Linked DNA regions of Mus musculus: all the other regions are reported to be linked to region 2. The links are microRNA targets in miRTarBase. Many come from high-throughput screens and were not tested one by one. Region 2 holds a microRNA gene; each other region holds the end of a gene's coding sequence.

Region 1 (3,075 bases), not on the chromosome of region 2:
GCCAGGGAAGGACGCCCCGCTGCAGCCCAGAGCCTCGTTCAGGAAGCCTAGCGCCAAGCCCCTCAGAAACATCCCCAGGCAGAAACCTGAAGAAAACAAGGTCAGCAGCCCCAACTCTCCTGACCCCGAGAGTCCCAAGGAAGAGCCCAAGGCTCCTCAGGCTACGGGTGTCTCTCGAGCCCTTCCCCCCATCCCAAGTTTTGCTCGAAATACGGTGGCCTCGTCATCTCGGAGCCTGCGAACGGATGCTCCACCCGCGGCCAGAACCACTGGCCTCACCAGGACAGTCTCCCAGCGGCAGCTTAGGGTCAAAGGTGGCTCCGAGGATTCTGCCTCCAAGGACATTGGCACTTTGAAGAGGGCCAGCAGTGCTCGGGCCTCCAAGAAGTGTCCTGAATCTGCTGGGGGTTCAAGTGCCAATGTAGAAACCTCACTGAAGGGCAGAGGGACGACGGAAAGATCCTCTCTCAGACTGAAGGACTCGGGGCAGGCCACCCTCGGGAGGATCCTCCGTCCCCTGCAGAAATGATGACGCCTGTCTGCATTTCTGCCTTGTGGGATGTTAGCTGCTGGGACTGGCTGCTGCGGGGGGAGGACACAGAGGCCAGTCTTAAACATCTTGTTACACATCGAGCAACACACTGGTGCCACCTGCTTAAAGGTCACGTCACTAAAGGTACAAGGAGAGCTATAGCCTGCTGTGCAGACTTCTGCTTCGAAATCAAAGCTGAGAGTATCCTTATTCTGCACAGTACTTTGTCAGGGGCTGGCACCTCCTGTCACTCATACTCAGGACCCTATCCCTAACTCCTGCCCCGAGACAAAGATCCAATAATAGTCTGGACATGTAAGATGACAATTCTTATGTAACAAGTAAAAAAAAAAAAATTCTGGCCAGTTTTTATATATCAAAGACTTATTTTTTAATATTATAAAAATAAAAAAGATGTTTTAGTTCCTTTTTCAGAGTGAAATGCCTCCCAGGAATGGGGGGATTATCCTTAATATGAAACTGTTTGTACCTTCATCCCCACCCCCTGCCTCGGGGTTCCATCAGCGTGTATGTGGGAGAACACACACCATACCTAGCCAGGGGTGGCCTCTCACAAGCTCTTGGGTGGTTGTACGGTTGAGGCTGTCTCCTTGAGAACTTTCTGGCTAGCTAATGTGTGGGTTCTCCTCAAATGACTCTGGGTGAGGATTTCATGTGAATAGGAGGGACGTCAGATTTGTATGGGTAAAAATCTGATGTTACTGTGAGTTTAAGGGGGCCCCAAGGGTGTGAGGCCCATGGCGGGGAGCCCATGGCTATAGGGAAGTTTTCCCTGAAGATAGGAGCAACTGTGTAGGGTGCTGGATAGGGTGCTTGGTGTAGAAGACAGCAAGGGCTGCCCAGCTGAGTAGGTCCTTCCCATGTGTGCAATGGTGGCCACTCGCTTCTGTTAGCTCCGGGTGGAGAGGGAAATGACCCTTTTTGTGGGTCAGGCTTCCTTCTCTTCTGGGGCCTCAGTACCCCACCCCCACCTGCTATTCTATTTGATTTTGCTTTTAGAGACATTGTGAGACCTAGTCTAGGCTGGCCTCTTACTTGCAATCCTCTGCCTCAGCTTCTGAGTGCTAGGATAACAGGTACAAGGCACCAGGCCCAGCCTAGGGATACTGCTTGGTGTCAGCCTGTCTTCCTTGGTACAGCGCTTCTCAAGTCCAACTGAGAGAAGCCCAGTCATGGTTGTTTATTTTAAATAGACTCTTACCCCCCAAGAAACACTGACTTCTGACTTCAGGAATCTTAACACTGGGGAAATCTGTGCAGGAGATAGGCATCGTGCAAACAGAAGTTCTTACCCAATGCTCTTTTTACTACTTCTCTATTAAACCCAGGAAATAGAGAAGAAAGTGGGGGGGGAAGCTTGAAATAAAAGCCCTGCCCCCTTCTTTCTGAGTCACTTCTTAGTGAAATCTCACTTTAGATCAGACACTGGTGACTGGGTGGGCTAGGTCAGCGTGTCACACTGTGAGGTGACTGCGGAGGCTGCTATGGTCTCTCCTTTCGGGAAGCCTCTCCATCTTTGCCTGGGAACTGAGCTGCTGTCCCTGAGCTGCAGCAGTTGAACAGTACAGTGGCAGAGATAGGCTGCAGTCACCACCTCTTGTTAAAAACAGCCCTGAGCAGCGATGTCTGGGCAGCTAGGAAGCCCTCAGCAATCTGTCCCCCTCTGGAACCCTCCAGAACCAGAAGGCCTGTGGGTGGGTGGGAACGGATGAGAGACGACACGTGCTGACAGGTTTGTGGATGGTGAATTGAGTAGCCCCGTGGGAGGGCCCAGGGACCCATCCTGTGCCGTATTCCAACACCGCTTTCGTTCGGTACAAGCGTCTACTCTCCCTAAGTGTCTGTCTCCCAGCCCATAGAAGTGAGTCCAGCCCTTCATGATGGTTTCCAGGAATCGAGCTACCCAGTCACCCTGTGTCTGTTTCTGACGTGGCTTCTAGGACCCTCAGCAGAGGCTGGGGAGCCTCCGGAGAAGCCTGTTGGTATGGTGCTGTCAGATCACATTGGCTGCGTGCTTGGGAAAGCAGTGGTGTCGCCGGCCCTGTGCACACGTGGGTGGGCAGGTGGGCAGTCTCTTACTACCTTTTATACACTGTAAGTTTGGGAGAATCATCTATGCAACAGAGGAATGTCAATGCCTTTCTACATGCGTTTGTTGAGGATGCGCTGAATGCATTTTAAGGTCCTTTTCTACGTACTTTATGGAACAGGTAGTCTTAATAAAGTTGTTTGTAGGAGTTATACCTATGCTATGCCTTTGCACATGTGTCTTAGTTGTCCTGCCAGGAGAGTCTTTAATCTCTTTCCCTGAAAGAAGGTGAGGTGTGGGAAGAAAGGGGGAGGGTATGGAAAACTTGTCCTCCAAAGGTTCGAGAGTCAGAATAAATTTCTATTGGCATTGGTTCCATACAACACACACAGGACCAAGGGCTCGGGAGTGGGCTTTGCTGCAGGCCTGTAGGGATGCAGGTTTATCTCACAAGCCATTGCCGGAACACTTGATGCTCCTTGGAGCTCTTGTT
Region 2 (3,100 bases):
AGAGTCCAGGGGTTCCTACGTGGCTTGGTCATGGTGAGATAGCACAGTTTTCATGACTTGGCAAATCGTTCTTTTTTTTTTTGGATGGGCAGCCAATCTCACAGATAGTCACTGGGGTCAGGCCCCGGCCCCTTGCTCAAGAGTGTGACTGGTTCCACAAGCATGTGCTTGAATGACAGAGGCCGGCGAGCTGTCTGGTCTGGATCGTGAGAGGAGGTCCTGCGGTTTTTCTCGGTGCGGTGGTTCTCTGACATTTGCAGGGTGGCTATCAATAGTGTGCTCGCCATATTTATGGAGATTAATTGGGACGACCATTGTTTGCCCCATATCTGGATTTGCTTCCGAAGGTCCTAGAGCACAGTGGTGACTTCAGCTAATGGACATTGGTACCTGCTGCAGGAGAGGGAGAATTTATTGAGGCAGAGTAACCTCAGAAGGCACCCCCCCCCCCATGTACTCTCACAGTGACAGCTTTGAGGTGGCAACAGCTTTGGTGGCTTGCTTCTTTGTGCTTGGTCTGGAGAACACTGAGAATAACTCACCTGTCTGTTGTTGCTGTTAAGTCTTAGTTCAGAGGAACTCCTTGAGAAGGTACTGGGTCAAGCATCTCTTTAGGTAGACAGAACTTGGCCAGGGTCTTCTAGGTCCAGCACCCACTCTCCTCAGCATCCATTCTGAGCATAGACTTCCTGTGGTTAATACAGGTGTTAATAAGGATACTTCCTGCCGCCGCCGCTGCCTTAAGTCACTCTCTATCTGTTCCTATGGCTTCCTTTGGGCTGACTTTTTCTTAGACATACCTGGTCAATAGCATACCATTTCAGCTCATTCCATAATCTGGTGTGTGTGTGTGTGTGTGTGTGTGTGTGTGTGTGTGTGTGTGTGTGCCTGCATGCATGCTTGTACAAATTGTTGGTTAGTGTAGGGCCTCTCAAACTGCTCAACGCTGCTAAGATATTCGTCACCTAGGGATCTTGTTAAAAAGCAGAGTCTGATTGAGGGGCCAAGATTCTGCATTTTTAGCAAGCTCTCAAGTGATGCTAATGCTGCCGGTCCGTGGACAACACATGTAGCCACTGGGGGCTGGAGGTGATGTTGCATGTTCCTTGTAGTGTGTGTGCTCCATCTCCTCCATCCACCCCGCATTATCCATCATGAGTGAGCATTGAGCCAATATGCTACCTTTTGATGATCAAACTGTGGTCAGTTGTGAAAGGCCACCTGCTGTACAAACACCATTATTGATTATTGATTATTCTTTCAAATCAAAGCATGCCTCTATGGGCTTCCCAGATATAAGAGCTACTTCAAGGAGGGGCTGCCTATGTCAGCCAACAGCAGGACTTGTCAGCACCAGGTTATTGGTGACTGAGACCATCTGACTCTGTAACTCTCCATTTCCAGTCAATTGTAAGGAGCACAGTTCTGGAACCACAGCTTCTGGGGAAGGAGGAGTCCTATCTGTCGTATCTACCAGCAACCCTCGACGTTATCGAGAGAGGTAATGCCCATGGTGCCATTGCCCTTCCATGATATTCGGCCAGCTGCTGGCTTCTTGCCATCCAGCTTACCTCTCAGGGAGGACCAGATAGACTTCCATTTTGTTTCTAAATTGACCTGCCTTAGGAAGCTCTTGTGGGAATGAGTTTTTCCGTCAGACCAGATTTTAGCCCTAGGACCAATGTGTAGCAGTGAGTGGTTGCTGTCAGCTCATGTGCTTTCTTACAGACTATGGGAATTCACCTCTCAGAGTCTAGGAATTCAATTTGTCATTGGAAGAATCTTCTGGAAGGAGAGAGGACAGTAGACAAGAGGCCCCGGTTTTCCTGTCAGAGATCTCTGAGAATATTTGAGGTCATTCATGTTCTGTTTGCTTATTGTGAACGAGACACAGTTAGCTTCCTTTTGACTATCAAACTCTGCTTTTTTGAAGGGCCCCCTGCACAAGCGATATGAGACTGCCTGCCTTGTGTGAGCCTTGGATGAGCCCTGCAGCTCCTTCGAGATGCTCCTTGGATATTCCTGATGGAGAAGACCAACCCCGAGGAAGCTTGGTCCTGCTTGCGATGAGCTTGCTGTGCTTTCACGGACACCCTTCGTTTCTTCTACCAGTTTTCAGTGCCAGGGTGCGCTTGAAAGGAGAGCTGATGCCAGGGCTATAGCCTTCCCCAGCCAGAGCATGTGGGCCAAACCCTTTCTGGATGGCTAGGCAGTGGGGAGAAGCCATGAGATGGTTGAGAAGTAGTCACAACTCCCCTGGGGACAGACTGGTTTTCAGGGTTACATCCATTCAAAAACACCCCCCGGAATTCAGGCTTGTGAAAGACAAGCTAACTTGACCCTGTTCCTTTGTTCTCACTGAGGTCCTGTCCCTGGCATCCCCTTCCTCCTGTGGACACCACTGAGGTGCAGACACTACCCCGATGGGGCTTCCCGTCCTGCTGTTCGGCTCTGGAAGAGACTTGATTCCTTTTCTTTTTGTGCTGGTGGAGATCACACACAAAAGGTAAGATGAACCCAGCTGTTTGGGATTCTGGAAGAAGGAGGTTGGCCTGTATCCCTGCTGTAAGGGAAGATGCTGTTCTTGGGCGTCTCCCTTTCAGGGATGATGCCGGTGGCGGACAGGAAGCCCAGCTCCTGCCGCCTGGATGACTCTTCCCTTGGTGGGGACCAATCCTGGATGGAATCAGTTCAAGATGGATGCCAGCTTCATACAAGAGCCCTATCAGGATTGGCCTGAGGTCTGTAAGAGTATATTTGGCCCAGGTAAATCCAGGTGCTAGGGATATCTGATACCCTATAGCACATGCACGCCATCTTTAGGGCATTTCTGAGGTCAGGATGCTTCAGCTCTCACCCCTGCTTCCTCTCTTTGCCAGAGAGAAGTGCTATCAGCTACTAAAAGTGAATACTAAATGGCCTATCTATGTCAGAGGGAAGCCCAAAGCCCAGGAAGAAATGATGGACCAGAAACAACAGGACATGCTCGTAAGGTCACAGGCTTCTTTGTTCCAGACTCTCAGCACCCAGGCTACCCTAGTGAGGTCCCCAGAATTGAATGCACGTTAATCCCCCTGCCTCAGACTTTGGGAATAGGCTA
Region 3 (3,075 bases), not on the chromosome of region 2:
CAAGCTCAGGACCAATGGAAAGTGGCATGGGAAGGGCAAGCATTAACTCTGAGCCAACCACGGTCTTAAGCCCTGTGCTCCTGTGCTTTCTGATACCTGAAACCAGTGTTCATCCACTGGGAGGGAACTCGTGTGAGCGCTAGCTTGGTGTGCTCTGAACGCAGTACCAGAGACTTCTTGATGCATTAGGAGGTTCTCCAGCTTGTCCAATCCCAAGCCTTTGTATTGTATCTGTTGTGAGTGAAGGAAGGCGAGCAGATTACCGCATTTCAGAGAATACCTGTGTCAAAATCAATCCGTTTGGATGTTCCCAAATCAACATTTAAAGATGAGGACCATTCAGAACTTTCAGAATATGTTGTACCTATTTTCTTCATGCAATTTTTCACCAACAGTGTGTATAAGATCTCAATGACTAGGATCAAACTAAGAAATATATACATACTAATCATGTTTACTAGGGCACTCAGGTAAATAGAATCAGCCACTGTGTCCATCAACAGATGCACTGAGATAAAATGTGGTACATATATATAGGAGAGTTTTATTAAGTCATAAAAATATCTGTAGGAAAATGTGACTACAGATCACCTTAACTCTCAGGAAGACAAATAGTTTATCTTTTCTTCATCTGTAGAATTGAGATTTACATGACATATGACATAGAAATAGAAGGGGAACATTATTTTTTTTTTTGCCTCTAAAAGGAAAATGCATTGTTGTTTATTTGGAACCCTGCTTGTTTGTCCAGTCTCTGAGTGATAGAGGACACCCCAGAGCACTCCAGTACACTTCCCGTCCTTACCATGAAAACTCGCTTTCCTTAGTTCATCAAACTCGAACATTAAAACAAAACTCTTTACCTTTCAAAGACTGCATGGAGTGGCAGGACACTGTCTATTAACCTGTGTGCTGATTCCTCCTCCACAACTTCATCTGTGCCACACGTAGTCTTAGATGTTTGGCGTAAAGTGTAAAAAAAAACCTTACACACAGTAGCCAAAGCTATGTGGTGTGAAGGCATAAGTGGCCAGCTTAGCATTTTAATTCGTTGCCTGTATACATAGTACCTAACAAATTTACTGGTTGCAAGGTTTTTCTCTCAAAAATAAGAATTCCTCTCATATAAAAAAAGAATAGCCCACATTTCTGATAGCTGGCAGCTACCTTACTTGCTGAGTCATGGCCATGCAGTTTGCATGCGAAGTCTTCCCACCATACAGTGCCAGATGATGCAGACCTTCGCTTTCATGTTTCCTGTTTATTCTGAAACAAATCCTCTATCTTTAACTCACTCACAGTAAAGAAAAACATAAGTCATAATTTTCCTGACTATTTTGGCAGATTCTGATCAACTAAAGGAAAAGATAAATGACCTGGAGACACAACTCAGAAAGTTGGAGCTAGAAAAGCAACATTCGAAGGTAATTCGTATTGGTGTCTAACTTTAGTATGCTCAGTGTTTTGTGAAAACAGCTTTGGGAAATAATTTTTATGATCACCATCTTTAAGTGTATAACCCAAAATTCATGGATTTATTTCACACTTATTATTTGACTCATGACAACTTTTTATTAAACAACTATCAACAGCAAAAAATCAGACAAACAGAAAGTACTAGAGAATAAATTTATTTTTAAATTGTAACCAATGCACATCTCTTAATAGTTTTTTTAAACTATTTTCTTAATTTGTGGGTCATGGTGGGGAAAGTGTTTTCTAAGTCCCTTTTGAAATTATTTTCAGGGATCTTTCCCTTAAATCATTTAGTGGTCTGGCTGCTCGTCACTGGTCTGTGTAGATGCTGTAAGCATGCACTTCACCAGGTGCTTAACCTTTCCAAGTCCCAGGGTTCCCATGATCATAAGTATTATATATAAAAGATAAAAAATTAGAACATTATAAATACTGAAAACTCTTGAATGTTGTTGTAAAAAAGCAAAGTCCCTTTCGCTTGCCTGGGAATATCTGAGGCAGTTTAAAGATTTAATCTTATAATTTAGCTAAAGATGGCAGCTTCTACATTATTCACATGGTACAACGGAACCTTGAACAGTAAAATATAAAGAAAAATATTTACATTTAAGATTTTGAGTTTTTATGTTTATAATTAAATCTAAAATTTCAAACCAAAAACATGTATCCTGTATGTAACTTTTAGGAGGAAGTTAAAAAGCTGAAAAAAGAACTGGAAAATTTTGATCCTTCATTTTTTGAAGAAATTGAAGACCTGAAGTATAATTATAAGGAAGAAGTGAAAAAGAATATCCTATTAGAAGAGAAGCTAAAAAAACTGTCGGAACAGTTTGGATTTGAACTGCCTAGTCCTCTTGCTGCTTCTGAACACTCGGAAGATGGAGAAAGTCCTCATAGTTTCCCTATTTATTAGTGCCCTCGTGTAACTGCAGGTTTAAAACTATTTTATGAGTGAAAAAAGTTTCAGCTGGAAATCAAGCAGTCTCTGTGTTATAGAATTTACAGCTCAAAATATTGTATTTTTTTTGTTTAAAAAAATCATATTTAGTTTTAACTTGTTAGAAAAGTATATTTTTGAAGACTTCATTAATTTATGACTATACAGTGCACAATGAGCTATGATAAATATTACTATTTTCATAATAACTTAAATTTTCAAAAAGCATAAAGGTAAGCTTATATCAATTTACTATTTAAAATTGATTATTTTATATTTATTTTTGTGTTAAGATAGTCAAATCCTAACGATGATTTCTATAAATACCTAGAAACATGTTTAGAAGTTGACAGGTTTTGCCAAACAGCTAGCAAAATTAAATGCAAACTATTCAGTCTTAGAAAATCACAATAATCTCAACAATTAGTTCCATTTTATACATCAAGTATTATGTCTTTGAGTCTCTCAAATTTCTGTTTATCTATTTTTGAAAACTGATTAAACAAAGACTGGTTATCAAAAGCACAGTCATAATTGTTCAGGTTCAGGTTCATGTTAATAATAACTGGTTTGGAATTCATGTAAGTATCTGGAAGTGGCCAGCATAAACCAAGATGGTGACGATGGACCTGTAAGGAGAAAAAAATGATGGTATTAACTTT

Evidence for each region. Region 2 holds the annotated microRNA mmu-miR-544-5p (UCUUGUUAAAAAGCAGAGUCU, at 973-993, shown strand). A microRNA usually pairs through its seed, bases 2 to 8, with sites in the 3' UTR of a target mRNA and lowers its output. Matches are read on the target gene's strand: a 7mer-m8 pairs with bases 2 to 8, a 7mer-A1 pairs with bases 2 to 7 and ends in A, and an 8mer does both.
Region 1: miRTarBase lists Fhdc1 as a target of mmu-miR-544-5p. Seed matches in the 3' UTR shown: 7mer-m8 at 868-874.
Region 3: miRTarBase lists 4930430F08Rik as a target of mmu-miR-544-5p. Seed matches in the 3' UTR shown: 7mer-m8 at 2,531-2,537.

Annotation. Positions count from the first base shown.
Region 1 is chr3:84,441,921-84,444,995 of GRCm38, reverse strand. It overlaps Fhdc1 (FH2 domain containing 1), which reads left to right. Exons shown (of 12, transcript NM_001205355.1): 12 at 1-2,800. The coding sequence ends at 529. Among named protein-coding and RNA genes, the nearest start is that of Fhdc1, 36 kb to the left of the region's middle.
Region 2 is chr12:109,728,363-109,731,462 of GRCm38, forward strand. Mir544 (microRNA 544) reads left to right here and starts at 963; the gene lies at 963-1,040.
Region 3 is chr10:100,570,719-100,573,793 of GRCm38, forward strand. It overlaps 4930430F08Rik (RIKEN cDNA 4930430F08 gene), which reads right to left. Exons shown (of 7, transcript NM_175128.2): 7 at 1,556-3,042. The coding sequence ends at 2,848. Cep290 (centrosomal protein 290) reads left to right here. Exons shown (of 54, transcript NM_146009.3): 53 at 1,345-1,424; 54 at 2,162-3,075. The coding sequence ends at 2,389. Among named protein-coding and RNA genes, the nearest start is that of 4930430F08Rik, 17 kb to the right of the region's middle.